Macaca fascicularis: one gene and its partners. The protein of the gene in region 3 purifies or fractionates together with the protein of the main gene of each other region. This does not show direct contact. Links are inferred from orthologs where the notes say so. Each region holds a gene or a part of one and is shown on either strand. Other genes may lie near its edges. The genes, in order: POLR1E, POLR3G, POLR1C, POLR3E, POLR3C, POLR3H and POLR1F.

Region 1 (3,500 bases), on a different chromosome or scaffold from region 3:
GCAGACAGCTCACTGGAGCCTTGACCTCCTGGGCTCAGGTGATCCTCCTGCCTCAGGCTCCTGAGTAGCTGGGACCACAGGAGTGTGCCACCATGCTGGTTAAGTTTTTGTAGAGATGGGGTCTTGCCTTGTTGCCCAGGCTTTCATTAGCTGTTGAGTGTGTCAGGGGTGAGAGGCGCCTGCTGCTCTTGTTGTGAGAGGGAAATAGTTCCTGACAGAGCCCATCTTACCCTGACACAAGCCTCTCTTTCTTTTCCTTGTTTTAGCCATTGCACCTTTGTGATAGAAGCGTTGAAGTCTTTGCCATCAGACGTGGAGAGCCGAGACCGCCAGGCCCGATGCATATGGTTTCTGGATACCCTCATCAAATTTCGAGCTCAGAGGGTAGTTAAGCGGAAAAGTAAGTCTATGGTAAACATTTAATTCTAATTGTTTCCAGTCTGTTATTTGTCTATAATTCTTAGATCAGTTCTAATGAGAGAAGAAAATCAGTGTGTCTGTCCAAGTCTTTATTGTCAACTGTGAGATTCCTGCTGGTACTGCTGACATGTCGAGGGGACTTGCCAGGCCCCTTTTTCTCTCTGGATCTCCCTTTTCTCATCTGAAAATTGGGGCCACGTTGGATTATATGAGAGTTCAGGGTCCTTCCAGAGCTAACATTTGCTACTTCTATTCTGCATTAGGCAAGGTAGAATATCCAGGTCAAATAAAATGAAAATTTTAAGGGACTGTTAGAACAAACATCAGCCGTGTGTGTGTGTGTGTGTGTGTGTGTGTGTGTGTGTGTGTGTGTGTGTGTGTGTGGAGAGAGCGCTTATGAGTTACACATATGTATCTTGAAAGCTTGTGGCAGGTTTGTGTTGTGTCAGCTTATTTCTAACAGGAGAGCGTCAATCTGATGGTAACCCAGTGTCACCTGTAGCCAGGACGCTTTGTGGGTCACACCCTCATACCTACCCAGAGTTGGAAACCCAGGAGATGTCTGTGGTTTTAGGCACAAGGCATATTTAGTTGTTACTGTGATTGGGCATCCAATAGTCTATACTCCTGTTTTTCAGTATAGTCATGTGTCACTTAATGATGGGGATATGTTCTGAGAAATGTATCCTTAGGCAATTTTGTCATTGTACAAACATCACAGAGTATATTTGCATAAACCTAGATGGTATAGCCTACTACACACCTAGGCTATATGCTATAAGCTGCTGTTCCTAGGCTGCAAACCTATACAGCATGTTACTATGCTGAATATTATAGGCAATTGTAACACAATGGCATTTGTGTATCTAAATGTATCTAAACAGAAAAGGAATAGTAAAACTATGATATTATAATCTTTTGGGACCGGCTGGGCATGTTGGCTCATGCCTATATCTCAGCACTTTGAGAGGCCAAGGTGAGAGGATCACTTCAGGGCAGGAGTTTGAGACCAGCCTGGGCAACATACCAAGACACTGTCTCTACAAAAAAATAAAAATATTAGCTGGGGTGATGCACGCCTGTACTCCCAGCTATTTGGGAGGCTGAGGCAGGAGGAGTGTTTGAGCCTAGGAGTTCAAGGTTACAGTGAGCTATGAATGCACCACTGCCTCAGTGACAGCAAGACCCTGTGTCAAACAAAATCTTACAGGACCATTGTCACATATGTGGCCTGTCATTCACCAAAAGAACGTAATGTGGGACATGACTGTATTTGCTTAGTCATGCTTTTTTTTTTTTTGAGACAGGATCTCGCTCTGTCACCCAGGCTGGGGTGCAGACCTATGATCTTGACTCAGTACAACCTCCATCTCCTGGGTTCAAGCAGTTCTGCCTCAGCCTCCTGAGTAGCTGGGATTACAGGCGGGCGTCACCATGCCCAGCTAATTTTTGTGTTTTTAGTAGAGACGGGGTTTTTCCATGTTGGCCAGGCTGGTCTTGAACTCCTGACCTCAGGTGATCCACCCTCCTTGGGCTCCCACAGTGCTGGCTGGGATTACAGGTGTGAGCTACCGCACTCAGCTTGTATTTGCTTAGTTCTTTTTTTTTTTTAGATGGCGTCTCGCTCTGTCACCCAGGCTGGAATACAGTGGCTCGATCTTGGCTCCCTGCATCCTCCACCTCCTGGGTTCAAGGGATTCTCCTGCCTCAGCCTCCCAAGTAGCTGGGGTTATAGGTGCCCGCCACCACACCTGGCTAATTTTTGTGTTTTTAGTAGAGACAGGGTTTCACCATGTTGGTCAGGCTGGTCTTGAACTCCTAACCTCATGATCTGCCCGCCTTGGCCTCCCAAAGTGCTGGGATTACAGGCGTGAGCCACCATGCCCAGCCAGTTTTTTTTTGTTTTGTTTCGTTTTGTTTTGTTTTGAGATGGAGTCTCACTTTATCGCCCAGGCTAGAGTGCAGTGGCGCAATCTCGTCTCACTGCAACCTCTGCCTCCCAGGTTCAAGCTGTTGTTCTGCCTCAGCCTCCTGAGTAGCTGGGATTACACCATACTCAGCTAATTTTTGTATTTTTAGTGGAGGTGGGGTTTCACTGTGTTGGCCAGGCTGGTCTTGAACTCCTGACCTCAGGTGTTCTGCCTGCCTCGGTCTCCCAAAGTGTTGGGATTACAGGTGTGAGCCACTGCATCTGGTCACTTAGTTCTTATTTTCACATTCCAATTCCAGCTTTCCCTGTCTCTCCCTGAGCTTTCAGCACAATTTTTGTTTTCTAAGGTCATGTTAAATCTACGTCCTTAGGCCTCCGGCTGTGTTTTCTTGTCACTGCCCCATCACCAGCATCTCTTGTGCAGGGCAAGCTGCAGGCTGAAGCACACCAAGCATGTTTTCATTTCGATGTGGCCGTTCTGCTTTGTGGGCCCTGCTTCTCTTACCACCTGGTTCTGGTCATTACAGTGGCCCAGCTCCTGGCTTTTCTCTCAACTCATGGTGGAGGTGTGGCCTGAGGGTTTTGAGAGAAAATGATCAAACTCAACTTTGTGTTGTAGGTGCCCTGGGACCTGGAGTTCCCCACATCATCAACACCAAACTGCTGAAGCACTTTACCTGCTTGACGTACAACAATGGCAGGTCAGGGGGTGGTTTCTGGGATTTTTCCTGTGCAGGAGAAAGTGGGTGAGGGTTGGGAGTGAGCAGCAGGGGCTTGGACTCAATTCCACGTCCACAGAGATGCAGTGCTGAAGAGACTGCTGCCATTTGGAAGGCTCCTGGGGCCCCAGTAAGTTTAGCAAACGCTAAATATGACATACTCTGTCCTTTTTGGAAAAGTATTACTTTTGGGGAATCTTAGAAGCTCTGGGAAGTCCTCCAATAAAGACTTGTTTTACTTCACATACTTTTGAAGAGCCCTTCCTGATGTCCCACAGAGCTGGTGTTTGCGGAAAGGCAGTGTTGCAGAAAAGGGCAGCCCAACTCGGTGACTCAGGAAAGACCCGCAAGCGTTGCCCCGGGCTTCCTTCCTGCCATTTGCCTGGAGTATGTTTTCTGCTCTAGAGTGTGCTTGGAAGAATCAGCACAGC
Region 2 (4,232 bases), on a different chromosome or scaffold from region 3:
GCAAAAGAGCGTATACCTCTCCTTCCATGAAGGCTTATTAGTAGTTGTCACAGTAACGGTTTTCATAATTCTTTTGTAATGCTGTCTCATGAGTCTCCTTATCATTTTTCCTGGCTAAGTTGGGAGGTTAGTCAAGTTCTCAAGGGAATTTCTTAAGCCTAAATAGATGTTTCTGGCCGGGTACAGTGGCTCACGCCTGTAATCCCAGCACTTTGGGAGGCCGAGGCAGGCGGATCACTTGAGGTCAGGAGTTCAAGACCAGCCTGGTCAACATAGTGAAACCCCATTTCTACTAAAAATACAAAATTAGCCGGGTGCGGTGGCGGGCGCCTGTAATCTCAGCTCCTTGGGAGGCTGAGGCAGGAGAATCGCTTGAACCCAGGAGGCGGAGGTTGCAGTGAGACGAGATTGCGCCACTGCACTCCAGCCTGGGCAATAGAGACTCTGTCTCAAAAAAACAAAAAACAAAAAAAAAACCTAAATAGATGCTTCAATAGCTGGGAAGTGGGGAGTGGAGACAGTGACCTGATGTTAACAGAGCGGATGATTTAAGAGGCTGGCGGGGCCACACCCAGTCATTATTCACTTTTCCCGTCCTTACCAGGTGCTCCTTTTCTCTATTTGAGCCTTTCTACCAACTCGCGTTTCTCTCTTCCAAGGACAGACCAAATCAAAAAAAAAAAAAAAAGAGGGTGGATACAGAATTTTATTTTTTAGAAGAAAAGACAAACCATATTAACAACTTCCTTCCCTACGATATAAAATGCCAACAGTTACGAAAACAGATACTGAACAGTCGGTCCTTAGCTGCAATCTGCGGCAATGACTAGTGCCTCAACAAATCATAAAGTCACTGGATTTGGAAAATAACCTACTATCAGTAAGAGCATAAATACCCTTCTAACTCACTGCAAACAGTCCCAGGAGTGGAGACTGGGTAAGATCTGGAAATTCGACTTAAAAAAATTCTGAAGGGAGCAGGACAAGGAGGGGAGGTACCAAGCTATCTCCAAACACCCCTCAACCCAGAGGCGCTTTAATGAATCTCTACCCCCGACTTCCCCCACAACTTCTCCACATGCCCCTTTAACTCCCCTCTACCCTCACCACCCCTCCCAAGTCTTCGATTGCTTCCTCGGTTACCTGTTCCCTAAGTCTCGAAGCTTGGGCAAAACTCTGCAGCCGAAGCGCCGGCCGGCAAGTAAGGGGTGCTGGCAGAGAACACCGGCGCTCGAGTGCCGTTCGTTCCACCTCAGGAGAAACTCGCACCGCCCTCCACGCGGCCCCAGGACCGCGGCGTGAGCCCTACCAACTAGCCCCGCCCACTCCCTAGGCAGGCCCCACCCCCTCGGCAAAGAGCTTTTTTGCCCTTGGCAGGCTCCGTAGGCTCCGTACAACCTGCTAGGCCCCACACTTTCCGCGCCAGCTAGGAGTGCGCGCTGTGGGGAGCCAGTGGGTGGGCGGTCCTAGCGCTTCCCACCCTTGCTCCGGGCCTCTGCTGTCACACGCCCGGGGTGGCGAAAGGGTCACCACCTGAGTCTCCATTCTGCTGCAGTGGTCCCTGCGTTACAGCTCCCTCGTGGTGCGCCTGCCGAGGCTGCTGTAGCTCCTGCGCCCCCGTGCTGGTGGCGCAGTCTCTGCTTGCTGCCGACCTGGCGGGAGGGTACGAGAGCGCACGCTACTGGCAGCGTCGGTCTGCGTCCTTCCTCCTCCTATTCTGACTCCCGCATCCCCCGCCCCCGCCTCACTCAACGCCTCCTCCCTGGCTGCAGGCAGACGGCTCCACACAGCCGCAGCGCCCGGTGTTTACACAGCCTGTGGGAGACTCGCACGCCCACACTCACCCCGCCTGGCTGCATCCCTGCCCAGCATGTCGGCGCTCGAGTGGTACGCCCACAAGTCTCTAGGCGATGGTATTTTCTGGATTCAAGAACGCTTCTACGAGTCGGGCAACCGTGCCAACATCTGGCTGGTGCGCGGCTCCGAGCAGGACGTGGTGATCGATACAGGCCTGGGGCTGCGCAGCCTCCCTGAGTACCTGTACTCTTCCGGCCTCTTGCAGGACCGCGGGGCCAAAGAGGACGCGGCGCGCCGGCCGCTGCTTGCCGTGGCCACCCACGTGCACTTCGACCACTCCGGCGGCCTCTACCAGTTCGACCGGGTGGCCGTGCACCACGCCGAGGCCGAGGCGCTGGCTCGCGGGGACAACTTTGAGACCGTGACCTGGCTCTCCGATAGCGAGGTGGTGCGGGCGCCCAGCCCCGGCTGGAGGGCCAGACAGTTCCGGGTACAGGCGGTGCAGCCCACCCTCATCCTGCAGGATGGTAATGGGCCCCCGCGGGCGCGCGCTCTCGTTAAGGGAGGGTATTGGGAAGAGACTGTCCGAGTGCCGCATGTTGCAGACTTGCGTGGCCATAAAGGGGATTATTTTGGCACCTCGCGGAACCACTTCTGTTACACCCTTCCCTAAGTAAAAACCTACTTGACCAGAGCCAAAGCCATCACAGCCTTCCCTGCCAGAGGCCAGCTCTGGCACCGTATAGCAATTCTGAGTACTTCTTTGAAAGCCGGCACTACCCCTCCCTAGCCAGTTTCCTGAGTCGGCTGTAGTAGTAACACTACAGAGACTTGTGACTGACTAGGGATTTCTTATTCTTTCCCTAAGCACCTACCCGACATTTCCAGGAGCTTTCGTAGTGAGTAGACTTTTAAGGAATGACGCCCCACGGGGAGTGCATGTCATGATCTGTGCTTTTGAGAACTGCAGACTTCATCAGCTTGGTCACCACCGGGTATGGGCAGTTCCCACCTGTAGCCTTAGAAAGTCATCAGAGCAGCGATTCCAATCCGCTAATGCGATTGGAAACCTCTCAGATAGGTTTCTGTTCTTGATGTTGACTCACGATTGCAAAAGCTTAATAGTAATCATAAACGTAGAATAACTTTATGACAGGTATCTGGTCCGGCTGAAAGCAAAGCCTGAGAAAGATCAATAAGGAAGTAATTTTCGGTAGAGGTAAATTATGTGGACTAATGCATAGGTAGCCATGGTCCTCTTTGGCTCTGTGAAAGACAAATATGGAATTCAGAGAGAAATCCATGGGATGAAAATAAATAGATTAGGGCCTCAGCCCATTTCCCTACGCAAGGACTTAAATAATTGAGCTAATTTGCCACATCAGCAATATTTGGTATATTAGTTTTCTATTTTCTTTTTAGTATACTTTTGATTTCATTTTATCCTCACAACACATTTAAAGTGAGGCCACTGACCTCCCAGTTAAATGGCTTGCCTGAGACAGATCATGATAAAAGCTAGGATATGAATCTAGGCACAATAGATCAAGGCATGCAGAACGTACATAAATCCTACCTCATAAATATATGATGATAATTCTGAGTAGAATGTGAAAGGCCCCTTCTTTCCTTTAGTGTGAGACTATTTTAATTACCAATTTGGTTTATTAAAACATGCCTCTATATAGTAGAAAAAGCCAGTTGCTGCAGTATAGTGAAGCTCACTTTATGACCAAACAATATGGCAAATAATGAAATATTTTACAAAAATCAGTTTATCTCACAGATGACATCTTACTCATTTGAGATATTTTAAAAATTGCAGTATTATATTGTATTACTTATCGGTGCTAAAAAAAAAAAAATTGCAAGATTCTGTACCTCAACCCCACCCAACAAAAGTCTTCATTAAAGTTTTAAATCTAAAATTAAAAAAAAAAAAAAAACTGGTTTAGATGGGAGTCTTACATTATCTGACAATATGAGATGAAAGTACATGTACATTAAATTTTAATTTACATTAAAGTCACACCTAATTACTGTATTTCTTGACAAAAATGGGTACTTTTAGGGGTAAGATTTCCATGCAGTTGATGGGTATTCAGACTAAATTCTGACACCCGGACCAAAAATGTTTACATTAGTATTAAAATATACTTAAATTATTGAAAAGAATAAATTACTTTTGAAATTGACTTTTGATTCTGTATCAGCAATGGGAAATCAAAGGTGAAAGAATGATAGGGATTGTTTTATAGATGAAGAAAGAACCCATGTAGGCCTGAGTATCATGCAAGAGGTCACATCACCCATCTCGGAAAGAGCTGGGACTAGAACCCAGGTTTACCAGTTGATGGTAGAATCCTAACATTTTGGGAGCTGAAAGGGGCCTGCAAACTACTTGTGTGGTACTTTAAGCCTTTAAAAGGGTGAAA
Region 3 (3,500 bases):
GCCCAGGCTGGAGTGCAGTGGCCGGATCTCAGCTCACTGCAAGCTCTGCCTCCCGGGTTTTTACGCCATTCTCCTGCCTCAGCCTCCCGAGTAGCCGGGACTACAGGCGCCCGCCACCTCGCCCGGCTAGTTTTTGTATTTTTTAGTAGAGACGGGGTTTCACGGTGTTAGCCAGGATGGTCTCGAACTCCTGACCTCGTGATCTGCCCGTCTCGGCCTCCCAAAGTGCTGGGATTACAGGCTTGAGCCACCGCGCCCGGCCAGATGTTTACTAGTTCTTAAGAGCTCCCTCCATTTGTGCAGGAGATGAAGACGGCACAGAGATAGATACCCTACGGTTTCGTCTCCAAGTCAGATGCACTCGGAACCCCCATGCTGCTAAAGATTCCTCTGACCCCAACGAACTGTATGTGAACCACAAAGGTAAGTAGTGGTAGGGTGAGGAAGAGGCCCCACCTGTGGGTGGCTGCTAGTTTTAGGAACTGAAATCTTTTGACATGTTTTTCCTCCAGTGTATACCAGGCATATGACATGGATCCCCCTGGGGAATCAGGCTGATCTTTTCCCAGAGGGCACTATCCGACCAGTGCACGATGACATCCTCATTGCTCAGCTGCGGCCTGGCCAAGAAATTGACCTGCTTATGCACTGTGTCAAGGGCATTGGTGAGAACCCTGTGTTCCTTCCTGGGAAGAGGGGTAGTTTGGTTGCAGTGGGGCAAGCTGACTAGGGAACTCAGCTGAGATATTCCTAGCAGGTAGAAAGCCAAGAGCATCGTGCTTTTGCTGTTAGCAGCTTAGGAAGAGTATTCTTCCTAATCCTAGAAGGGTTTCGTATAGGCACTTTCTCTCTTCCTCTCCAGGCAAAGATCATGCCAAGTTTTCACCAGTGGCAACAGCCAGTTATAGGCTCCTGCCAGACATCACCCTGCTTGAGCCCGTGGAAGGGGAGGCAGCTGAGGAGTTGAGCAGGTGCTTCTCACCTGGTGTTATTGAGGTGCAGGAAGTCCAAGGTATGGTATTTGGGGTGCTGTTCAGGTTAGGACCTAAATTATATTTTCTTTGAAGGTGACAGAAATAAAAACCCTGGGTTCCTAAAAGTATAACATGGTTTGCTACCAAGGGGCAAATTAGAAAAAAGAATAAAAAAACGTGGTTTGTTCTCATTAGGTAAAAAGGTGGCCAGAGTTGCCAACCCCCGGCTGGATACCTTCAGCAGAGAAATCTTCCGGCATGAGAAGCTAAAGAAGGTTGTGAGGCTTGCCCGGGTTCGAGATCATTATATCTGTGAGTATGAAGTGGTGAGATGAGTGGGCAGTACTCTTTGGTGCTGCAGCTTCCTTCCAGTCTAGATGTGAAGTTTGAGTAACAGGGGCTTTCTACAGGCAAGCCCCGCCTAGGCTAAAGTGTCTCTTTGATCCCCAGTCTCTGTTGAGTCAACGGGGGTGTTGCCACCAGATGTGCTGGTGAGTGAAGCCATCAAAGTACTGATGGGGAAGTGCCGGCGCTTCTTGGATGAACTAGATGCGGTTCAGATGGACTGAGCTTGGATGTTCCTGAGGCAAGCTGAAGCTTTGGGTTCTGACTGACCCACCCTACAGGACTGCTGTACAGAGAGCCCAGTGTGACTAGGGATCCTGAGTTTTCTGGGACAATTCCAGCTTTATTTTTAATCAATACATTTTGTTAAATGTGCCATAAAATGAGACTTTTAGGCCTTTGTAAGGCCTTAGATGTAAATAAACTCATGTCCAAACAAAACTTTTTGAGACAACTTTTATATTTTTTGAGACAGAGTCTCACTCTGTTGCCCAGGCTGGAGTGCAATGGTGCAATCTCTGCTCACTGCAACCTCCTCCTCCTGGGTTCAAGCAATTCTCTTGCCTCAGCCTCCTGAGTAGCTGGGACTACAGGTGTGTACCACCACGCCTGGCTATGTGTAATTTTTTGTATTTTTAGTAGAGAGAGGGTTTCACCATATTGGTCAGACTGGTCTCAAACTCCTGACCTCAAGTGATCTGTCTGCCTTGGGGCCTCCCAAAGTGTTGGGATTACAGGTGTGAGCCACTGCGAAAAACAGGGCCTCACTTCAGAACTGGTTTGACCTTTAGCAATTAAGAACATCAGATGTACACTCCAGCCTGGGTAACAGTGAGACCCTGTCTCAAAAACAACAAAAAACACCTCCTGAGAATTGGCAAATTAAGGTGGTTTCTGGGAGTACAGCCAAACCCCTAGAAAAACATTCAAGCTAGAGTGAATGCACCATTTCACCTGTCTCCCGGATTACCAGGGAAGTTCATGCCGCTATTGACAGCTCCAACAAAGAACAGTAGCAATTCCTTTGGGCCAGGCCCAGCAGCCACATATGAAAGACACTGTGAGAATGGTATGGGCTGCCTAGTCTGGGTGTGTCAGGATAGAAATCCTTTTCTAACTGGCACACCATTTCAGAAAGCTTGAAAGACCAGGTTCATCAGTCACATTTCTTCCTGTTCAGTCCCCTTTTGCAGGGTGCTCATGGAGTAACTCTGGAGTATGTCACTGGTTTTAAGACTAGGTTGAAAAAGGCAGATGGGTCCCTTTCTGTATGAAACTGAGACTTTTACTGACATGCAGATGTGCTTTGGAGTTAATGTTTCTACAAAAAGTTTCTATAAACAATAGAAAACTTCTAGCATGAAGTCACAGGATGTTAAAAATATTACAACACAATAAATACAACTACACCCTCCACAGCCCCAACCATACAGGAATAGGCAGCTATCAGGTTTGGAGGGAAACACTATTGAGATCGCCTTCACAATCCACAGGAACCCAGAGCACCACACGGGAAGAGGGAGCAACATGAGACTCCAACTTCTGCTTCCTCAGCTTTGCCTCTTCCCAATCTGACCCTGCCTCTGGTCCACACCAGCTAAAAACTATAGCTTCAGTCCACTTCGGCTCTCATGGAAACCCTCTTGTCAGTGGATTGGTGGACAACAGGTCTGTTTTTGTGCAGAGCACATGGACACACTGGTTTCTGTATGGATTAAGTCTGCCTTTATGGCCAGTAATAATGTCAGGGCCAGGTCCCATATCCGAGTCCTGTTTATAGGGCCTTTCAGTGACCTCTAGAATGGACTCACAGTACAGGTTGTGATGCGAAGGCATGTATTCTTTTCTTTTGGAGATGGTCTTTGAGAAAAGTAACCAGGGACCTGAAAGACCATGAGATTGCGGAAGGCACCTGGTCTTAGTCCTAGAAGACCAGTGGCTTTGCTAGCTGCTTATCACAGATATAGCCTAGTTGGTCTGTTTTATCCTTGGATGACAATGGTGTCATGTGACACTCTCTAGGGTACTGTGGCTCTTGTGCCTGAGTGGACCTTGAGGCTGGGGAAGCCAAACTGAGGGGTCATTCATGGAAGGGCAAGATGTGTGAGCTCTAAAGGGGATGTTAGCACTAAAGACTGCCCAGCCCTGGTCCTTGGAGGTACTATACTTGACACTGTGCCA
Region 4 (4,115 bases), on a different chromosome or scaffold from region 3:
TTTTTTCTTTGTAATTTTTGTACATTTTTGTACAAAAGATATATAGTGTTTTAGTCCATTTTCTGTTGCTTATAACAGAATACCTGAAACTGGGTAATCTGTAAAGAAAAGGAAGTTACTTATTACAGTTATGGAGGCTGATAAGTCCAAGCGCAAGAGTGTGCATCTGACGAGGGCCTTCTTGCTGGTGGGGTACCCCTGCAGAGTCCTCAGGCAGTACAAGCCATGATATGGAGGAGGTGCTGAGCTGTTCACTTGCTGGCTCAGGTCTAGCACTTATAAAGCTCCCACTTATAAAGCCATCAGTCCCCCTCCCAAGATAACCTATTAATCCATTAACCCATGAATCCATGAATAGATTAATCCACTCATGAGGGCTCCACCCTCATGATCTAATCACCTCTTAAAGGGCCCACCACACAATACTGCCACATTGGGGATTAAATTTCCAACACATGAAATTTGGGGGACACATTCAAACCATAGTACATATTAAACTGATAATAATGGTTACTTAACCTCTGCGGAGGGGCCTAGGATGCGAGTCAAGAGTCAAAGAGCATTTGTACCTTATCTGCAAAGTTTAAATATTTTACAATAATTCGTGTGTTATTTGTGTAAGTAAAAATTTAAACACATAATTTCTCAGAGACAACTGCCCAGACCAGCCCCCGGGTTTGGCCGTCAGATCCCCTAGGGCGTGTTTCTGATCAGATCGATTTCTTCTCCCGGAGACACGCAATCCGGGTCGTATGGATTACTTGTGAGTTAACCAGGGGTCTCCAGGGTAACCATCCATCTCAGAGTACAGTTTCTAAAAATGAGTTTTGCTCTAATACCTATTCGGAACAAACCTGGGTCTAAAAACTGGAGCAAGTGTTTATTTTCCAGCACACGGCTTTTTAAAATAATTCTATAGGGATCAGCTTGAACACACATTAAACAAAAAAACCTCAGCGAAAACGCCTCGCGATTTCCAGATGAAATGCGAATGCAAAAGCATTAAGTAGCGTTCTGGCAAACCCTTTCTCCAGCTGGGTAGCGTGGCCGAGCGGTCTAAGGCGCTGGATTAAGGCTCCAGTCTCTTCGGGGGCGTGGGTTCGAATCCCACCGCTGCCAGGGTTGGTTTCTTTTTGTTCCCCGCTGCATACACGCCCGGCTGTTTTGCGCGTGCCATCAGCGCCCCCTGCTGCAGGGCGGGGCTCACGGCCTGCATGAATGGCGCGGCGGAGGGGGCGGAGCCGTGTGCGCCGGGGCGGGGCATTGTGGGTAAGAGGAAGCGCTGGGGCCGGCCCGCTCCCCCCACGTGTCCGCCGGAGTTTCTCCACCAGCAACATGGCCGCCGCCTGAGAGGAGAGCCGGGCCGCCGCCGCATCTGCAGCCCGCGGGTAACTGGGCGGTTGCCGCCGTCCGCGCTCGGCCCCCGCGGAGAGGTGAGTCCCATCTTGGCAGCGCCCGAGCTGGGGCTTGAGCCGGACCGCACTCATGACGTGGGTCTGGGCTAGATTCCCGAGTAGGCCAAGGAGGCCCGCGCCGCGCCGTGCTGAGGGGCTGGGGGCCTCTCGGGACTCGGGCGGGAGGAGGGGCAGCCGGCTCCAGGCCGACCCCGGACTCCTACTTCCCCGACCCGACACCTGGGAGTTGGGGAGGCCGCGGCCGACGCTGCCGGCGGTGACTCAGGGTCCTGCCGACCTGCCCCACCCGGGCCTGGGGGGCATCCTACGGAAGGAACACCTGTCCTCGGCGTCGGGTGTGGTGGCGGCTCGCGGCAGGGACTGCGTGGTGGGCGTGAGAAGGGGTCCTGACCACCCGCGAGGGAGCAGAAACCCATTGGACAGCGAGGCTCGGGGTCGGCGGCCCGCCCCGATGGGCAGGGAGGGCACCTGCGCCTGCCGGAGCCCCCTCTTCGCAGCTGAACCGGATTAGCTTCTGCCTGGCGAGGCCTGGGATTCCTCGTTCATTTATTCAGGCAACCATTCAGTGTTTACTGAGCCAACTCTGTGCTCCGGATACGGCCCTGACCATTCGGTCCGAGGAGGTGTCAGTAAACAAACAAGGTCGTTCCTTTGGGTTAGCTTTAGAATTCCTTGGGCTTGGAGGCGGAAAGAAGAGATCTTAGCGATCTCAACAGTTCCTCATCTGTGAAATGGGGATAATAGAAATTCCTACCTCATAGGGTTGTGGTGATGGCTCATTAGAAACCAGGTGACGCTCCCGCTTGCAGCGTTTTTACCCGCCTACATTGGCAGAAAACATGTTGTCAAGTAATAACGAACCTTCCCATAGGTTACGTTTATTACCGTCTTTACTCCTCCCCGCAGCTGTTTGTAGGTCGGTACTTAGTTTCCCTACTTTAGGGATGAAAATAGGGAAGAATACCAGACGTAGACAACTCAAGTAGGTCACAGATGCGAAGCAGCTGCGGTGGGATTTGAACCCGCGTAGTTTTGCTCCGGAGTTCAGGCTCTTACCCACTTAACCATACTGCCTTTTATCGAAGATCTGTGCAGTATACTGGTTAAGAATAAGAATAAGGATCTTTGACATCAACGAGACCCTAGTTTCTGTCCTGATTCCACCTCGGATGAGTTACTTCTCTCTCAACCTCAGTCTCCTCATTTCCAAATTGAAGATGATAAATCTCTATTAATAGGGCTAATGAGAAGATTAAATATAAAGTATTCTTTGTACTATATTGAGTGTCAACTTCGTGCCAGGCACTGTTCTAGGTATTGAGAGATCTAGCAGTGGATATATATTTTTTTTAATCTTCATTTCATAGTTGAGGAAACTGAAGCACTGAGAAGCCTTCATGGAGCTTACATTCTATTGCAGAAGACAACACCTGAGCAAATAGACCAGGTAGTTCCAGATTAAGGTGAGACCCATTAAGGAAAGAAAATAGAGATGTGGTAGTGCCTGGGAGGAAGTTGGGGGAGGCTTTTAAAATAGGGTGGCCAGGGAACCTATCCTCTCCTGCAGGCGGTGATGATACTTAATAAAAAGGAGCAACCTTGGAAATCCCTGTGGGGGAATAGATGATGTGCAAAGGACCTTGGGTGGACTGGGGCTTGGCTTGGTGGAGGCCCAGCAAGTGGCTACCAGCCTGGATGGTCAGGGGAAGTCAGAGACAAGATCATGTAGGGCCTTAGGCGGCTCATGGAAAGGAGTTTGGGTTTTGTTTTATGTGACAGTGACAGTTGACAGGTTTTAGGCAGGGAAATAATGATTTACATTTTTTTTTTTTTTAAGATGAAGTCTTGCTGTGTTACCCAGTCTCGAGTGCAGTGGCAAGATCTCAGCTCACTGCAACCTCTGCCTCCTGGGTTCAAACGATTCTTCTGCCTCAGCCTCCCAAGTAGCTGGGATTACAGGTGTGCATCACCACACCTGGCTGATTTTTGTATTTTTAGTGGAGACGGGGTTTCACCTTATTGGCCAGGCTGTTCTGGAACTCCTGACCTCAGGTGATCTGCCTGCCTCAGTTTCCTAAAGTGCTGGGATTACAGGCGTGAGCCAGCGTGCCTGGCCCCGCCCCGAATAGAGATAGAGTCTCACCCTGTGACTCAGGATGGAACACAGTGGTGTGATCATAGCTCACTGCAGCCTCAAACTCCTGGATTCAACCAGTCCTGCTGCCTCAACTTCCCAAGTCATTGGGACTGCAGGCCACGCTGGGCTAATTTTTTTTTTTTTTTTTTTTTAAAGAGAGACCGGGGGTCGGGGGGGGGTCTCACTATGTTGCTCAGGCTGGTCTTGAACTCCTGGTCTCAGGCAGTCCTTCCACCTAAGCCTCCCAAAGTGTTGGGATTACTGGCATGAGCCACCACGCCAGCCTTTCCAAGGACTCACTGTTGCTGGGAGACTTTGAGGCAGGTAGCCATAGGGAGACATGGATGAGTTCTTTTCACATTGCAGATTGAGATTTATTAGTGGGAAGTAAAATTGATTTAGTGGAATTGAAGCTAGCATTTTTTGTTTTGAATGAATGAAGTAGAAAACATCACTGCCTGACATATAGTAGAGACAGAGTTATATGAAACTTTGTTTCAGTTACGCAACTGTGTGTATGTTCTGGGTTATTTATATGAGATGAATTTCATGTTGTTTTTTTT
Region 5 (4,234 bases), on a different chromosome or scaffold from region 3:
CTGTGAGCCGGTCTGCCACTTTCTTCACAACAGCTGACATTGTCAGTTTGCCATTCAACAGAAGCTCCTCAACGATCAGTTCTCCAGTGTCACTGTACAGAGTTTTGGTAGTATAGATGTACCGGGGATATCTAAGCATTCGCAATACCCGGCTGCACTGGGCTTCATACTCCACCACACCACGTTTGTGCACTTGATAACTCACCAGGTTATGTTGGATGAGGACACACAGGGCTTTTTTCACCTAGATGGGACATAAAGAGAAGAGAGGAAAGACCTGAAGATATAGCTCATTACTGCTGGAAATTTTTTGTCCAACAACTTACTAAGCATCAGAAAATGGCTAGATAATTTCTGCACTTATTTTCTCTCCATTGGAGTAGCTAATAAGAATCAGACATCAATACAATAAATCAGGAAGATTCCTTGCTATATTTACTCTGATCCTTATCTTTCTTTTTTTTTTTTTTTTTTTTTTTGAGACGGAGTCTCGCTCTGTCGCCCAGGCTGGAGTGCAGTGGCCGGATCTCAGCTCACTGCAAGCTCCGCCTCCCGGGTTTACGCCATTCTCCTGCCTCAGCCTCCCAAGTAGCTGGGACCACAGGCGCCGCCACCTCGCCCGGCTAATTTTTTGTGTTTTTTTTTTTTTTTGTAGAGACGGGGTATCGCCGTGTTAGCCAGGATGGTCTCGATCTCCTGACCTTGTGATCCGCCCGTCTCGGCCTCCCAAAGTGCTGGGATTACAGGCTTGAGCCACCGCGCCCGGCCTGATCCTTATCTTTCAAAACACAATTTACTTTCATCATTCTCATTCCTTAAAGGCAGTACTGAGATTAAAAGACCTATTGTGAATAAATGAGGTATGGCATGGGAAGAGCAAAGATTTGCCTAAAAGCTGTCATGAACTAGGAACACTTTGAGAAACAAAATGTTGATGCCTAAGTCCCATCCTTTTCTTCCCCAAATAACATTGTTCTGCTCCCAGGGCAGGTTTTCTTCATTTTTCCCTTTCTGGGGTGAGAAGAACAATATTCAAAGATGGGTGAGATAAATTAGTGAAATGACAGAAAATTAATGTCATTTAGACATACCTGATCCAGTGATGTTCCTGTGTCATGAGCAATTACTCTTAGTGGCTGGCTGCCGGTTCTTATCAGATGGACTCCAATTTTTTCTACAATCTCTCCAAAATGCTCTTGCAGCAACAAAGAACAGAGCTTAATTTCTGCTTGAGTCATGGTACTGGGGAGTCTGAGAGCTAGGGAAAAAACACCAAAACGGTACAATGGAAAGTCTTTCATGCTGGAAGCAGAGCTGCTGAGTGTAAATTCATGTATTCTTTCTGGAGGGCAATTTGACAATACATATCAAAAAGCCTTAAAAATCTTGCATATGTTTGAAACAACAATTTCTTTTTGGATATTGTATCCAAGGAAAGAATAAAAAGCTAATAATAATGAAGTCATTAGTTCTCTCTATAATACAGACTTACTGGAAGCAATCTGACGTCTAACAATAAATGATGGCATACCCATACAATGGCATACTATGCCAACAAAGTTATTTAGTACCATGTGTATTCGTGTAGAAGAAAATTATTCATAATAGGCTGGCGCTGTGGCTCATGCCTGCAATCCCAGCACTTTGGGAGGCCGAGGTGGGCGTATCACAAGGTCAGGAGTTTGAGAACAGCCTGGCCAACATAGTGAACCCCTTCTATACTAAAAATACAAAAAAAATTTAGCTTGGCGTGGTGGCGGGCGCCTGTAATCCCAGCTACTTGGGAGGCTGAGGCAGGAGAATCGCTTGAAGTGAGGAGACGGAGGTTGCAGTGAGCTGAGATCGCGCCACTGCACTCCAACCCGGGCAACAGTGCGAGACTCTGTCTCCAAAAAAAAAAAAAAAAACAAAAAAAAAGCAAAAAGAGGAAAATTATTCATAATATATTAAGTGACAGAAGCTGAAAAAATATAAAGATTCAATTATTGTAAAAAAAGGAAAAATGTATGCATAGAAAAAGACTGTGCATCAAATATACCTCTATGGGATTATGCATGATTCTGATTTTCTTTAAAGATTGGGAGTAGATGATTTTGCAGTCTGTCACAGACCTTAGTTTCTACACTTCATTGCTTGGAAGAATTAAGGTCACTGTTCACAGCCCGGTGGAAGTGAGCAGGCAGTGTTATTCTTAGTTCATAAAGGAAATGATAATTTCGAAAAAGAAATTTAGGCGGTAAAGGACTGCTTCTCAACAGGGCGTGTCAAATAGGAGATGAGGTTACGTTGTTTGCAGGACAGCATTCAATTCTTAAACTTCTACTCCTTGACAAAGTTGACACAATCAGAAACGGACGTAGTTTATTATACGATTACTTCCTTATTACAAATTGCTACCAAACATTACTTATTTCTTACAATTCGTAAGAAGCCTTAGTATCACCAGAGACCTATTTCGTCCATCCGCGTATCTTTGGAGAAGCATTTCCAGATCCCTTGCCATCCTCGGAAAGGACTTACAAGACGCTTGGCTCCTAGCTCTACACTCCCTTTACACAGGTTCCCATTCCGGATTTGGTCTCTTGGTCCAGTCAGTGCTGCCACGTTCAGACAGCATTTTCCACTAACCTCAGGATCAGCGCAGTTCAGAGGCACCAACCCCAAAGCTGCTGAACTTCCCGCAACGGCTTCCTGCGGCTCCCGCTGGCCTTCTGAGCGGAAGTGGAGCCCACCGCCCTTTCAAGGAAGAGGACGGCCACCGAAGAGGACGCGGAAAGGCAAAAAGCGCGTGCCGCTCTACGCTAGAGTTTCGGCGGCTTCCGGGGACGCTCTTTCTTTCTTCTCGCTGGAAGGCTGGAGGACCAGCGAGGGGCTGTTTGTGGAGCCGGCGGGCGGGAGGTTTGCCTCTCCTTCCTGCGCCTATTTGGTGCTGGGAGGCGGGCCGCAGGGTTGCTGTTGGCGCCGCCGCCTCTCTGGGTCTGGCCGACTCACGTGACCGACGCGGGCTCTGAAGCGGTGGGCCGCGCCGAGGCGGCGGTGGCTACTGCAGCCCGGGAGGTAGCGGCCTGGCGAGGGACGGGCCGGCTGCCTTCTCGGACGGCCGCGGCGGAGGACAAAAATGGCGGAGGCTTCGGCGGCCGGGGCGGACTCGGGCGCCGCTGTAGCCGCCCACCGGTTTTTCTGCCACTTTTGCAAGGGCGAGGTCAGCCCCAAACTACCGGTAAGAGCCCCGTGTTCTCTGTACTTGGGAACCTCATAGATTCCTGGCTCTGATGTCCCGGAACTGGGTTTGGAGCTTTCCGCACACCCTTGACTCCCAGGACATCGGTCTGCCGAATACCTGCTGCCCACTTTTCCAGCCACTGGCCCTAGACCCTGGGCGTCACGGCTCCGGCCCCGTACCTCCTGCCCACCTCTTAATTCATCGTGGGCTGCTTCACCTGATCTCACCTCTTTACCTCTCCTGTCCTTATTATTATTATTTTTTTCTTAGCAAGTTTCCCTCTGATAACTCTCCCCTCAATTTTCTTGCATTCTTTTATACCTGGTCTTTTCCCCACGATGACCTCCCCCCATACTCCTTCCGCTGTGTCTTCTCACCTTCCTCTACGTTCTTTTCCACTTTTCACTCCCCCCGCCCCCGCCACCTCCCTTGTCAGTGAAGCAAAATAGCGGATTGCTGAGGATTGTCCCTATTCGGTTTTCTCTGGGGAAGGAAGGAAGCACAGAAAGGGGGTTGGATGGTATCTGTGAGGCGAAAAGGAGGATTTTGCTCTTCAGAGGTTTCCAGGGTCCTTGTGAAAGTGAAAATAGCAGCGTACTAATGACTTGCAGACAGCCTGCACTCCTATCACTATTGAAGGAAATGGCTTTAGGAAGAAGGCAGGACGTACTGTTTCAACTTCGTTTATTTTGGTTGTCATGTTGCTAGTGTCTTTAATACCATTGTTCCGCCCCCCGCCCTGTCCCTTTCTTCACTTAAGAAAAAGAGCCGGGGTAGAATGTTGGGGTTGCTACCTCCGACATGAAATTGGTTTTCACGAGTTTCTGCCAGACTGTTAGCTGCTTGAGAGGCAGTGCTGTGGTTGTGAAAAAAGCACTTTTGTAGGTCAGGCGCGGTGGCTCAGGTCTGTAATCCCAGTACTTTGGGAGGACGAGGCAGGAGGATTGCTTGAGGCCAGGAGTTTGAGACCAGCCTGGGCAACACAGTGAGACTCCTCTCTACAAAAAACAA
Region 6 (4,138 bases), on a different chromosome or scaffold from region 3:
CCTGAACCAAAGCAATAGTAGTGGGAGTGGAATAAAGAGGAAGCATTTGAGAGGAAGAATTAATGTTAATCTCCTGAACACCTTACTCAATGCTTCCTAGGAATGTGTTAGGGGATTGTGGGAATAAAGAGCTGAAGTAGCATTTGCTCCTGTCCTCAAGTACCTCAAATCCTATAGAAGCAGACCTAAAAATAAAAACATACATGCAGGGAAGGCCACATTTAGCATCACTGCAGCCAGTGTCACTGAGAGATCACTATGCTTGTGAAATCAGCAAATTAAGGCACCGTACATTTCCAAGTGCCTCTGTCATTTACCCCAAGGATCTTTTTTAAGTACCTAAATTGTTATTTTGGTTAAAACACACTACAGTATACATCTACACCTCACCAGTTTTTAAAGGCAGGGTAGTGAGGTTCAGACTGGGCCCATCTCTACCACTTGTCAACACATGATCTTGGGCAAGTTACCAAATTCTTTTAGCCCATGCTAACTATCACGTGAAGACGAATGAGACTGGAATGTTGGGGAAAGAGAGCATGATGGGGCTATAGGAGGGGGTATGATCAGATCCTGCAAGGCCATGTGAACTACCATAAAGGTTTTGGACTTTTCTTCTTTCTTTCTGCTTTTCTCTTTCTTCTTTCTCTTCTTTTCCTTCTCCTTCTTCTCTTTCGTTTAGAGATGGGGTGTCACTGTCACCCATGCCAGAGTGCAGTGGCATGATTGTAGATCACTGGACTACAGGTGTGCACCGCCACCCCTGGCTTGGATTTAGTATTCTAAGTTCAATGGGTTGTACTTTTTGTTCCAATTTATTATCACTTTTCAATTGGGATATAATGTCTACAAATTTGCCCTGAGTTCAATTAGTTCGGACACTTGTATACGTCAATATTATACCACCGAAAAGAAGATACAGAACATTTCCATCATCGCAGAAAAGTCCCAACTGTTCCTTTCCTGTCAATTCTCCTTGTCTCCGGAACACTTAAGGGTGCTAAGCATATTATGTTTGCGGTGGTTTTTTTTTTTTTTTTTAACTTAGAAGATGTGGTAATATATGTTTGCGTTCCCAAAGGATCACTCTGCTGCTGTGCGGAGGACAGCAAGGCGGGCAAAGCACAGGCCAGGCGAGGTATAATCAGGCAGTATTGCACGGAGGTCGCCTAGCAACCAGAAAGCGCCGTCGGGAGCTGGGAAAACGCTCTGCTCCTGTGAAAGGAGGAGGCCCCGCCCCCTCCCCGCCCTCTCTCCGCCCTACGCAGTGCGCGGGTACACGCTCTGTGCGCCTCGGACGGACAGAGGCTTCTTATTGGTGGGTTTTCCGGAAGCGATGGATTCGGAATCTCGCCCGCAGCCACGCAAAACCGAGCGGCTGTGTGCGGTGCGTGGTGCGCGGTACGTGCGGCGGCACGTGGCGCGGGTGCGGGGCGTGGCGTGGCGGGGTCGCGCGGCGCGGGCGCGCACCCGGAGCTCTGAACAGAGAGCGCCTCCTTCTGGCCTCGGTTTCCTCCCGTTGTAGTAGCGGAGCATGGCCCGGACCGGGCACCCGAGACCGCCCCGTGCAGCCTCACTGCCAGCCTGGGGGCCTCAGCGACCGCGACGGGACCAAGGGGCTCGGGGATCCTCCCCGCCCCCGGCCCTGGTGCTTGACTGACCCTCCCGTTCCCAGAGCCCCCAGCGCAGACCGGGATGTTTGTCCTGGTGGAGATGGTGGACACGGTGCGGATCCCCCCTTGGCAGTTTGAGAGGAAGCTCAACGACTCCATTGCCGAGGAGCTGAACAAGAAGTTGGCCAACAAGGTACTGGGCCCACGGCTCGCGGGCAGGCCTTGGCGCGGGAGAGCCAGCGCCGCCCACCGGCCGCAGGCCTGGCCTCCGTCATGCCAAGCCCTGGCCGTGGGCAAGCGGCTTAATGTCTCAGAACTTCTGTTCACCGTGAAACAGGATGTTGAAGGGGATCAAAAGAAAATGGGCTTAAAAAAGGGAGTTGTAACTGGAAGTGTCAGACTCTACAATTCTAAATTACTTTGCAATTGCAAGCAAGTTAACCCCTCTGGGCCTCAGTTTCCATTTGTAAAATGGGGATAAAATGTTGCTGTCCTTCCAGCCATGCATTGGTTTTTTGTTGTTTTTGTTTTGTTTCGTTTCGTTTTTTTTTTTTTTTCTTTCCCCGAGACGGAGTCTTGCTCTGTCGCCCAGGCTGGAGTGCAGTGGCGCAATCTCGGCTCACTGCAAATCTCCGCCTCCTGGGTTCAAGCAGTTCTCCTGCCTCAGCCTCCCGAGTAGCTAGGACGACTACAGGCACGCGCCTCCATGCCCAGCTAATTTTTGTATTTGTATTTGTATTTAGTTTTATTTTTATTATTTACTTATTTATTTGAGATGGAGTCTCGCTCTGTCGCCCAGGCTGGAGTGCAGTGGCGCGATCTCGGCTCACTGCAAGCTCTGCCTCATGGATTCACGCCATTCTCCTGCCTCAGCCTCCCAAGTAGCTGGGGCTACAGGGGCCCGCCACCACGCCCGGCTAATTTTTTTTGGATTTTTAGTAGAGACGGGGTTTCACCATGTTAGCCTGGTTGGTCTCGATCTCCTGACCTCGTGATCCGCCGCCTCGGCCTCCCAAAGTGCTGGGATTACAGGCGTGAGCCACCGTGCCCGGCCAATTTTTGTATTTTTAGTAGAGACGGGGTTTCTCCATGTGGCCAGGATGGTCTGGATCTCTTGATCTCCCCACCTTGGCCTCCCAAAGTGCTGGGATTACAAGCGTGAGCCACCGCTCTGGGCCAGTGCATTGTTTTTGTGAAGATGAACAGTTCTAGTAGTACAGAGTTAACGAACTGTCAGGAGGTTCATCCCTTCATTCTAGCAGCCAATATTTGTGCGCCATCTCTGCGCCGTGCCTATGTGCCTTAGTGCCAGCTGAGAGGTCCTCCCACTGCCATTTCTCTGGCAGTCCTCCCTTTCCAGGTATTCTGTGTCGCATCAGTCTCTCCATCTTAGACTTTTTCCTTTCCCTCTCTTTGAGAGCAGGGACTTATCTGTCTTCTTCCCTGAAGTATCCCCTCACTTAGCCAGAGCCTGGCACCAGTAGATGTTCCATAATTTTATGTTTGTTTGTTTGTTTGTTTGTTTGTTTGTTTTTTTGAGACAGAGTCTTGCTCTGTCGCCCAGGCTGGGGTGCAGTGGCCGGATCTCAGCTCACTGCAAGCTCCGCCTCCCGGGTTTAGACCATTCTCCTGCCTCAGCCTCCCGAGTAGCTGGGACTACAGGCGCCCGCCACCTCGCCCGGCTAGTTTTTTGTATTTTTTAGTAGAGACGGGGTTTCACCGTGTTAGCCAGGATGGTCTCGATCTCCTGACCTTGTGATCCGCCCGTCTCGGCCTCCCAAAGTGCTGGGATTACAGGCTTGAGCCACCGCGCCCGGCCTGTTTGTTTGTGTTTTAAACAGAGTCCCGCTCTTGTCGCCCAGGCTGGGGTGCAGTGGTGCAATCTTGGCTCACTGCAACCTCCACCTCCTGGGTTCAAGCTATTCTTCTGCCTCAGCCTCTTGAGTAGCTGGGATTACAGGTGCCTTCCACCACGCCCGGCTAACTTTTGTACTTTTAGTAGAGACAGGGTTTCGCCATGTTGGCCAGGCTGGTCTCAAACTCCTGACCTCAGGTGATCTGCCTGCCTCAGCCTCCCATAGTGCTGGGATTACAGGCGTGAGCCACTGCGCCCAGCCATTTGTCTGTTGAATGAAACAGAGGCAAGGCTCTGAGCTATAGTGTGCTGGGAAAAGCAGATATGAATGAGAGGGGTCCATAGTTGAGGGTGTGGTGACAAATTGAGGTAAATGCTATGAGGGACAGATGTTCACACACCTGTGGGAACAAAGGACCATCCCCTGGAATGAGGGAACCTGCGGCTTTGGTGAGGAGGTGGGGTTGGAACTGAGATCTGATGGTGAAGTAGAGCCAACCAGAGGATTCCTTTCTGGGGTGGGAGGGGAACTGGGTGGAGAGAAGAGCCCTGAAGGCAGGAACTGGCATGTGCACAGGCCCTGTGAAGAAGGAATACAGACAGGGCGTGGTGGCTCACACCTGTAATCCCAGCACTTTGAGAGGTTGAGGCTGGTGGATCACCCGAGGTC
Region 7 (3,500 bases), on a different chromosome or scaffold from region 3:
TATTTTTGGAGACAGGGTCTCACTGTTGCCTAGGCTGGAATGCACTGGCACAATCATAGCTCACTGCAGCCTTGAACCCCTGGGCTCAAGTGATCCTCCTACCCCAGCCTCCTAAGTAACTGGGACTACAGATCCATGCCACCATGCCTGGCTAATGTTTTATTTTGTGTAGAGATGAGGTCTCACTATATTGCCCAGGTTGGTCTTGAACTCCTGGCCTCATGTGATCCTCCTGCTTTAGCTTCCCCAAATGCTGTGATGGTAGGTGAGCCACTGTACCTGGCCTACATGTTTATATTTAAAATAATAATTTACACAAAGTAGATGAAAGTTAAGTTTCTTAATTTCCAAATACACATCTACTGCCAACTTCAGTAGTCCAGTTATAAGATTCCAGTTTAACAGGCAAAGGATACTATTTGTATTAATTCGATATTGATAAATGAAAAAAATTGGAAGTGCCTTCTGGGTTTTGTCATGGTTAAATTGATCTATATTTTTATGAACAATATCAAGGGTTAGTTAACAGTTCTGATCTATTAGATTAAAATATTTATCAGCTGAAGAAAAGAGCATATACACCCACATATGAGTATACATATGAACATGTGTATACACAGAGAACTGCTGGAGGAAGACAGGAGAAAGTAAAGAGTAAAAAAGGATCTATTTCAGTAGATTTCATATCAATATCTGCATTTCCAGCTTATGAAAAACTGGAAGACCTTTCCCACAGAGATTCCATTTCCAAGGCACAGACTGGCTGCCCTGTCATCTGTCATTCACACATTTTCATTACTGCCTAGCCCATTTGAATTCCTGTTTTATATACTGCTATATATTCTTTGAAACCTTTGTAAAGAAATGGTATTTGTGTAGAATTGAGAACTTTTGAAATAATGATAATTGATTTTTTCCCCTTAAAATCATTCTGTGACTATGAAAATAATAAAGTGAATGGGACATATATTCTGTGCATGCATGTGTTTTAGGAGGATATTAAAAAACTTACCTAGGTTTGGATGATACAAATTATTTTTTCCATAAAAATATTTATTTACTCACAATAGCAATTTATTTGAGTCCCAAGGTATATATTACCTTTTAAAATGTTCCAAGTTACATAATTATAGAATTGTACAAAGGGAGCTAGAAAAAAGGGATACACATACCATAAGCTTTTGCCCCGGTTCAGGGCAGAAAATAACAAAATCAGCTTCAATGTTAAGATGAATGTGTCCTTGATCATCATAAATATCTCCAAGTTCTCCCACAACTTTGATGTTATCATATGCAATAGGGACACCTAAAAGGCTGTAAAAAGAAAAAGTTGAAAATGATATATTTTATCCTCTTTTACTTATTTATTTTTTTGGAGACAGGGTCTTACTCTGTCACCCAGGATAGGGTGCAGTGACATGAACAGGGCTCACTGCAGCCTGGACCTCCTGGGCTCAAGTGATCCTACTGCCTCAGCCTCCCAAAGTGCTGAGATTATAGGTGTGCACCACTGCACTCTTTTAAACCAGGCCATTTTCATACTGATTAGATATTCTAAGAGTCCAAAGCCTACACATCTAAATACACCACGCATGTCAAAAACAATAGTATATGATTAGTCTGTAACAACTTTAGTAGTCCTGTTTCACCAATGGATTCTGATGTGTTGGCTAAGTTAAAATGATGATTTAAGATACACAGAAACAAAATATGCATTAATGCATGAGCAGTAAATCAACTCTTCTTCCCTTGCCAACTCCCATTCTTTCTGTTCTAGCATGACTATTTGAATTCTTCAAGTTACACTAGGATAGAAAGAAAGGACTTAGCAAAGAAAACGTGTATCTCTGTGAGCATGACTGAACAAGAGGCAATTTTGGTATTATTCACCATTACTGAATTTCAGTACTTGACAGCATATAGCAAGGGAAGCATTACAGTTAAAGGTGAAGCCCCTGAATTTTATTTTATTTTATTTTATTTTATTTTTTTTTTTTTTGAGACGGAGTCTCGCTATGTCTCCCAGGCTGGAGTGCAGTGGCGCGATCTCAGCTCACTGCAAGCTCCGCCCCCTGGGTTCACGCCATTCTCCCGACTCAGCCTCCCAAGTAGCTGGGACTACAGGCGCCCGCTACCACGCCCGGCTAATTTTTTGTATTTTTAGTAGAGACGGGGTTTCACCGTGTTAGCCAGGATAGTCTCGATCTCCTGACCTCGTGATACACCCGCCTCGGCCTCCCAAAGTGCTGGGATTACAGGCTTGAGCCACCGCACCCGGCCGCCCCTGAATTTTATTTTATTTTATTTTATTTTTAATTTATTTATTATTATTATACTTTAAGTTGTAGGGTACATGTGCATAACGTGCAGGTTTGTTACATATGTATACTTGTGCCATGTTGCTGTGCTGCACCCATCAACTCGTCATTTACATCAGGTATAACTCCCAATGCAATCCCTCCCCCCTACCCCCTCCCCATCATAGGCCCCGGTGTGTGATGTTCCCCTTCCTGAGTCCAAGTGATCTCATTGTTCAGTTCCCACCTATGAGTGAGAACACGCGGTGTTTGGTTTTCTGTTCTTGTGATAGTTTGCTAAGAATGATGGTTTCCAGCTGCATCCATGTCCCCACAAAGGACACAAACTCATCCTTTTTGATGGCTGCATAGTATTCCATGGTGTATATGTGCCACATTTTCTTAATCCAATCTGTCACTGATGGACATTTGGGTTGATTCCAAGTCTTTGCTATTGTGAATAGTGCCGCAATAAACATACGTGTGCATGTGTCTTTATAGCAGCATAATTTATAATCCTTTGGGTATATACCCAGTAATGGGATGGCTGGGTCATATGGTACATCTAGTTCTAGATCCTTGAGGAATCGCCATACTGTTTTCCATAATGGTTGAACTAGTTTACAATCCCACCAACAGTGTAAAAGTGTTCCTATTTCTCCACATCCTCTCCAGCACCTGTTGTTTCCTGACTTTTTAATGATCGCCATTCTAAGAGTGCATCTCCCCCGGCAAAGCAACGCCCCTGAATTTTAAAGTCAATGACTTAATGGAGAAAATCCCAAACTTAAACTGTTGCTAGTAAATGCAAATGTTAATACAACTACATTTAGGAACTGACTCTTGACACTTTAGTCTACAAATGTAACAGTCAGGATTAAGGGACAACTATTTTTCAAACTGTCATTTCTTAGTTCTTAAGGAATTATAGCTATTAAGGAGAAAGACCTAGTGGTGGGAGGCGGAGGGTGCAGTGAGCTCAGATCTCACCACTGCACTCCAACCTGAGCGACAGAGGGAGACTCCATCTCAAACAAAGGAACAAGAAACAACAAAACAAACACAACCTGGTGGCTTCATTACTTGTTGGAAAACACTTCCCTGACTCCCCTAGGCAAACCTGAAATCATTCCTCTACTCCTATAGGCCAGCTTTCTCACTGTTCTTAATCTAACTGTATTGAACCTATCTGTATATATGTTT

What was found.
Region 1: the proteins of POLR1C (region 3) and POLR1E purify together in Homo sapiens (affinity purification with mass spectrometry; 5 studies listed by BioGRID and IntAct, counting the BioPlex papers as one, with this or other methods). This does not show direct contact. The link is inferred for Macaca fascicularis from reciprocal best matches to the Homo sapiens genes POLR1C and POLR1E.
Region 2: the proteins of POLR1C (region 3) and POLR3G purify together in Homo sapiens (affinity purification with mass spectrometry; 4 studies listed by BioGRID and IntAct, counting the BioPlex papers as one, with this or other methods). This does not show direct contact. The link is inferred for Macaca fascicularis from reciprocal best matches to the Homo sapiens genes POLR1C and POLR3G.
Region 4: the proteins of POLR1C (region 3) and POLR3E purify together in Homo sapiens (affinity purification with mass spectrometry; 5 studies listed by BioGRID and IntAct, counting the BioPlex papers as one, with this or other methods). This does not show direct contact. The link is inferred for Macaca fascicularis from reciprocal best matches to the Homo sapiens genes POLR1C and POLR3E.
Region 5: the proteins of POLR1C (region 3) and POLR3C purify together in Homo sapiens (affinity purification with mass spectrometry; 5 studies listed by BioGRID and IntAct, counting the BioPlex papers as one, with this or other methods). This does not show direct contact. The link is inferred for Macaca fascicularis from reciprocal best matches to the Homo sapiens genes POLR1C and POLR3C.
Region 6: the proteins of POLR1C (region 3) and POLR3H purify together in Homo sapiens (affinity purification with mass spectrometry; 5 studies listed by BioGRID and IntAct, counting the BioPlex papers as one, with this or other methods). This does not show direct contact. The link is inferred for Macaca fascicularis from reciprocal best matches to the Homo sapiens genes POLR1C and POLR3H.
Region 7: the proteins of POLR1C (region 3) and POLR1F purify together in Homo sapiens (affinity purification with mass spectrometry; 3 studies listed by BioGRID and IntAct, counting the BioPlex papers as one, with this or other methods). This does not show direct contact. The link is inferred for Macaca fascicularis from reciprocal best matches to the Homo sapiens genes POLR1C and POLR1F.

The regions. Positions count from the first base shown.
Region 1 is NC_088389.1:61,826,433-61,829,932, reverse strand, and holds part of POLR1E (DNA-directed RNA polymerase I subunit RPA49), read left to right. Parts: intron 1-266; coding exon 267-400; intron 401-2,969; coding exon 2,970-3,051; intron 3,052-3,500. UniProt on the Homo sapiens protein: Component of RNA polymerase I (Pol I), a DNA-dependent RNA polymerase which synthesizes ribosomal RNA precursors using the four ribonucleoside triphosphates as substrates.
Region 2 is NC_088380.1:94,475,898-94,480,129, reverse strand, and holds the start of POLR3G (DNA-directed RNA polymerase III subunit RPC7), read right to left. Parts: upstream 2,801-4,232; 5' UTR 2,673-2,800; intron 2,325-2,672; coding exon of another isoform or gene 1,871-2,324; exon of another isoform or gene 1,775-1,870; intron 1,668-1,774; exon of another isoform or gene 1,144-1,667; intron 652-1,143; exon of another isoform or gene 602-651; intron 1-601. Other genes in the region: acyl-coenzyme A thioesterase MBLAC2, read left to right, coding at 1,871-2,324. UniProt on the Homo sapiens protein: DNA-dependent RNA polymerase catalyzes the transcription of DNA into RNA using the four ribonucleoside triphosphates as substrates.
Region 3 is NC_088378.1:128,000,112-128,003,611, reverse strand, and holds part of POLR1C (DNA-directed RNA polymerases I and III subunit RPAC1), read left to right. Parts: intron 1-303; coding exon 304-423; intron 424-512; coding exon 513-665; intron 666-862; coding exon 863-1,012; intron 1,013-1,169; coding exon 1,170-1,286; intron 1,287-1,424; coding exon of another isoform or gene 1,425-1,543; exon of another isoform or gene 1,544-1,760; intron 1,761-2,582; exon of another isoform or gene 2,583-3,500. UniProt on the Homo sapiens protein: DNA-dependent RNA polymerase catalyzes the transcription of DNA into RNA using the four ribonucleoside triphosphates as substrates.
Region 4 is NC_088394.1:21,283,828-21,287,942, forward strand, and holds the start of POLR3E (DNA-directed RNA polymerase III subunit RPC5), read left to right. Parts: upstream 1-1,315; 5' UTR 1,316-1,433; intron 1,434-2,782; 5' UTR 2,783-2,878; intron 2,879-4,115. UniProt on the Homo sapiens protein: DNA-dependent RNA polymerase catalyzes the transcription of DNA into RNA using the four ribonucleoside triphosphates as substrates.
Region 5 is NC_088375.1:113,589,753-113,593,986, forward strand, and holds the start of POLR3C (DNA-directed RNA polymerase III subunit RPC3), read right to left. Parts: upstream 2,801-4,234; 5' UTR 2,504-2,800; coding exon 2,419-2,503; exon of another isoform or gene 2,039-2,418; intron 1,259-2,038; coding exon 1,092-1,258; intron 245-1,091; coding exon 1-244. Other genes in the region: E3 ubiquitin-protein ligase RNF115, read left to right, coding at 3,119-3,220. UniProt on the Homo sapiens protein: DNA-dependent RNA polymerase catalyzes the transcription of DNA into RNA using the four ribonucleoside triphosphates as substrates.
Region 6 is NC_088384.1:10,065,842-10,069,979, forward strand, and holds the start of POLR3H (DNA-directed RNA polymerase III subunit RPC8), read left to right. Parts: upstream 1-1,338; 5' UTR 1,339-1,387; exon of another isoform or gene 1,388-1,675; 5' UTR 1,676-1,695; coding exon 1,696-1,806; intron 1,807-4,138.
Region 7 is NC_088377.1:110,491,711-110,495,210, reverse strand, and holds part of POLR1F (DNA-directed RNA polymerase I subunit RPA43), read right to left. Parts: intron 1,315-3,500; coding exon 1,173-1,314; intron 1-1,172. UniProt on the Homo sapiens protein: Component of RNA polymerase I (Pol I), a DNA-dependent RNA polymerase which synthesizes ribosomal RNA precursors using the four ribonucleoside triphosphates as substrates.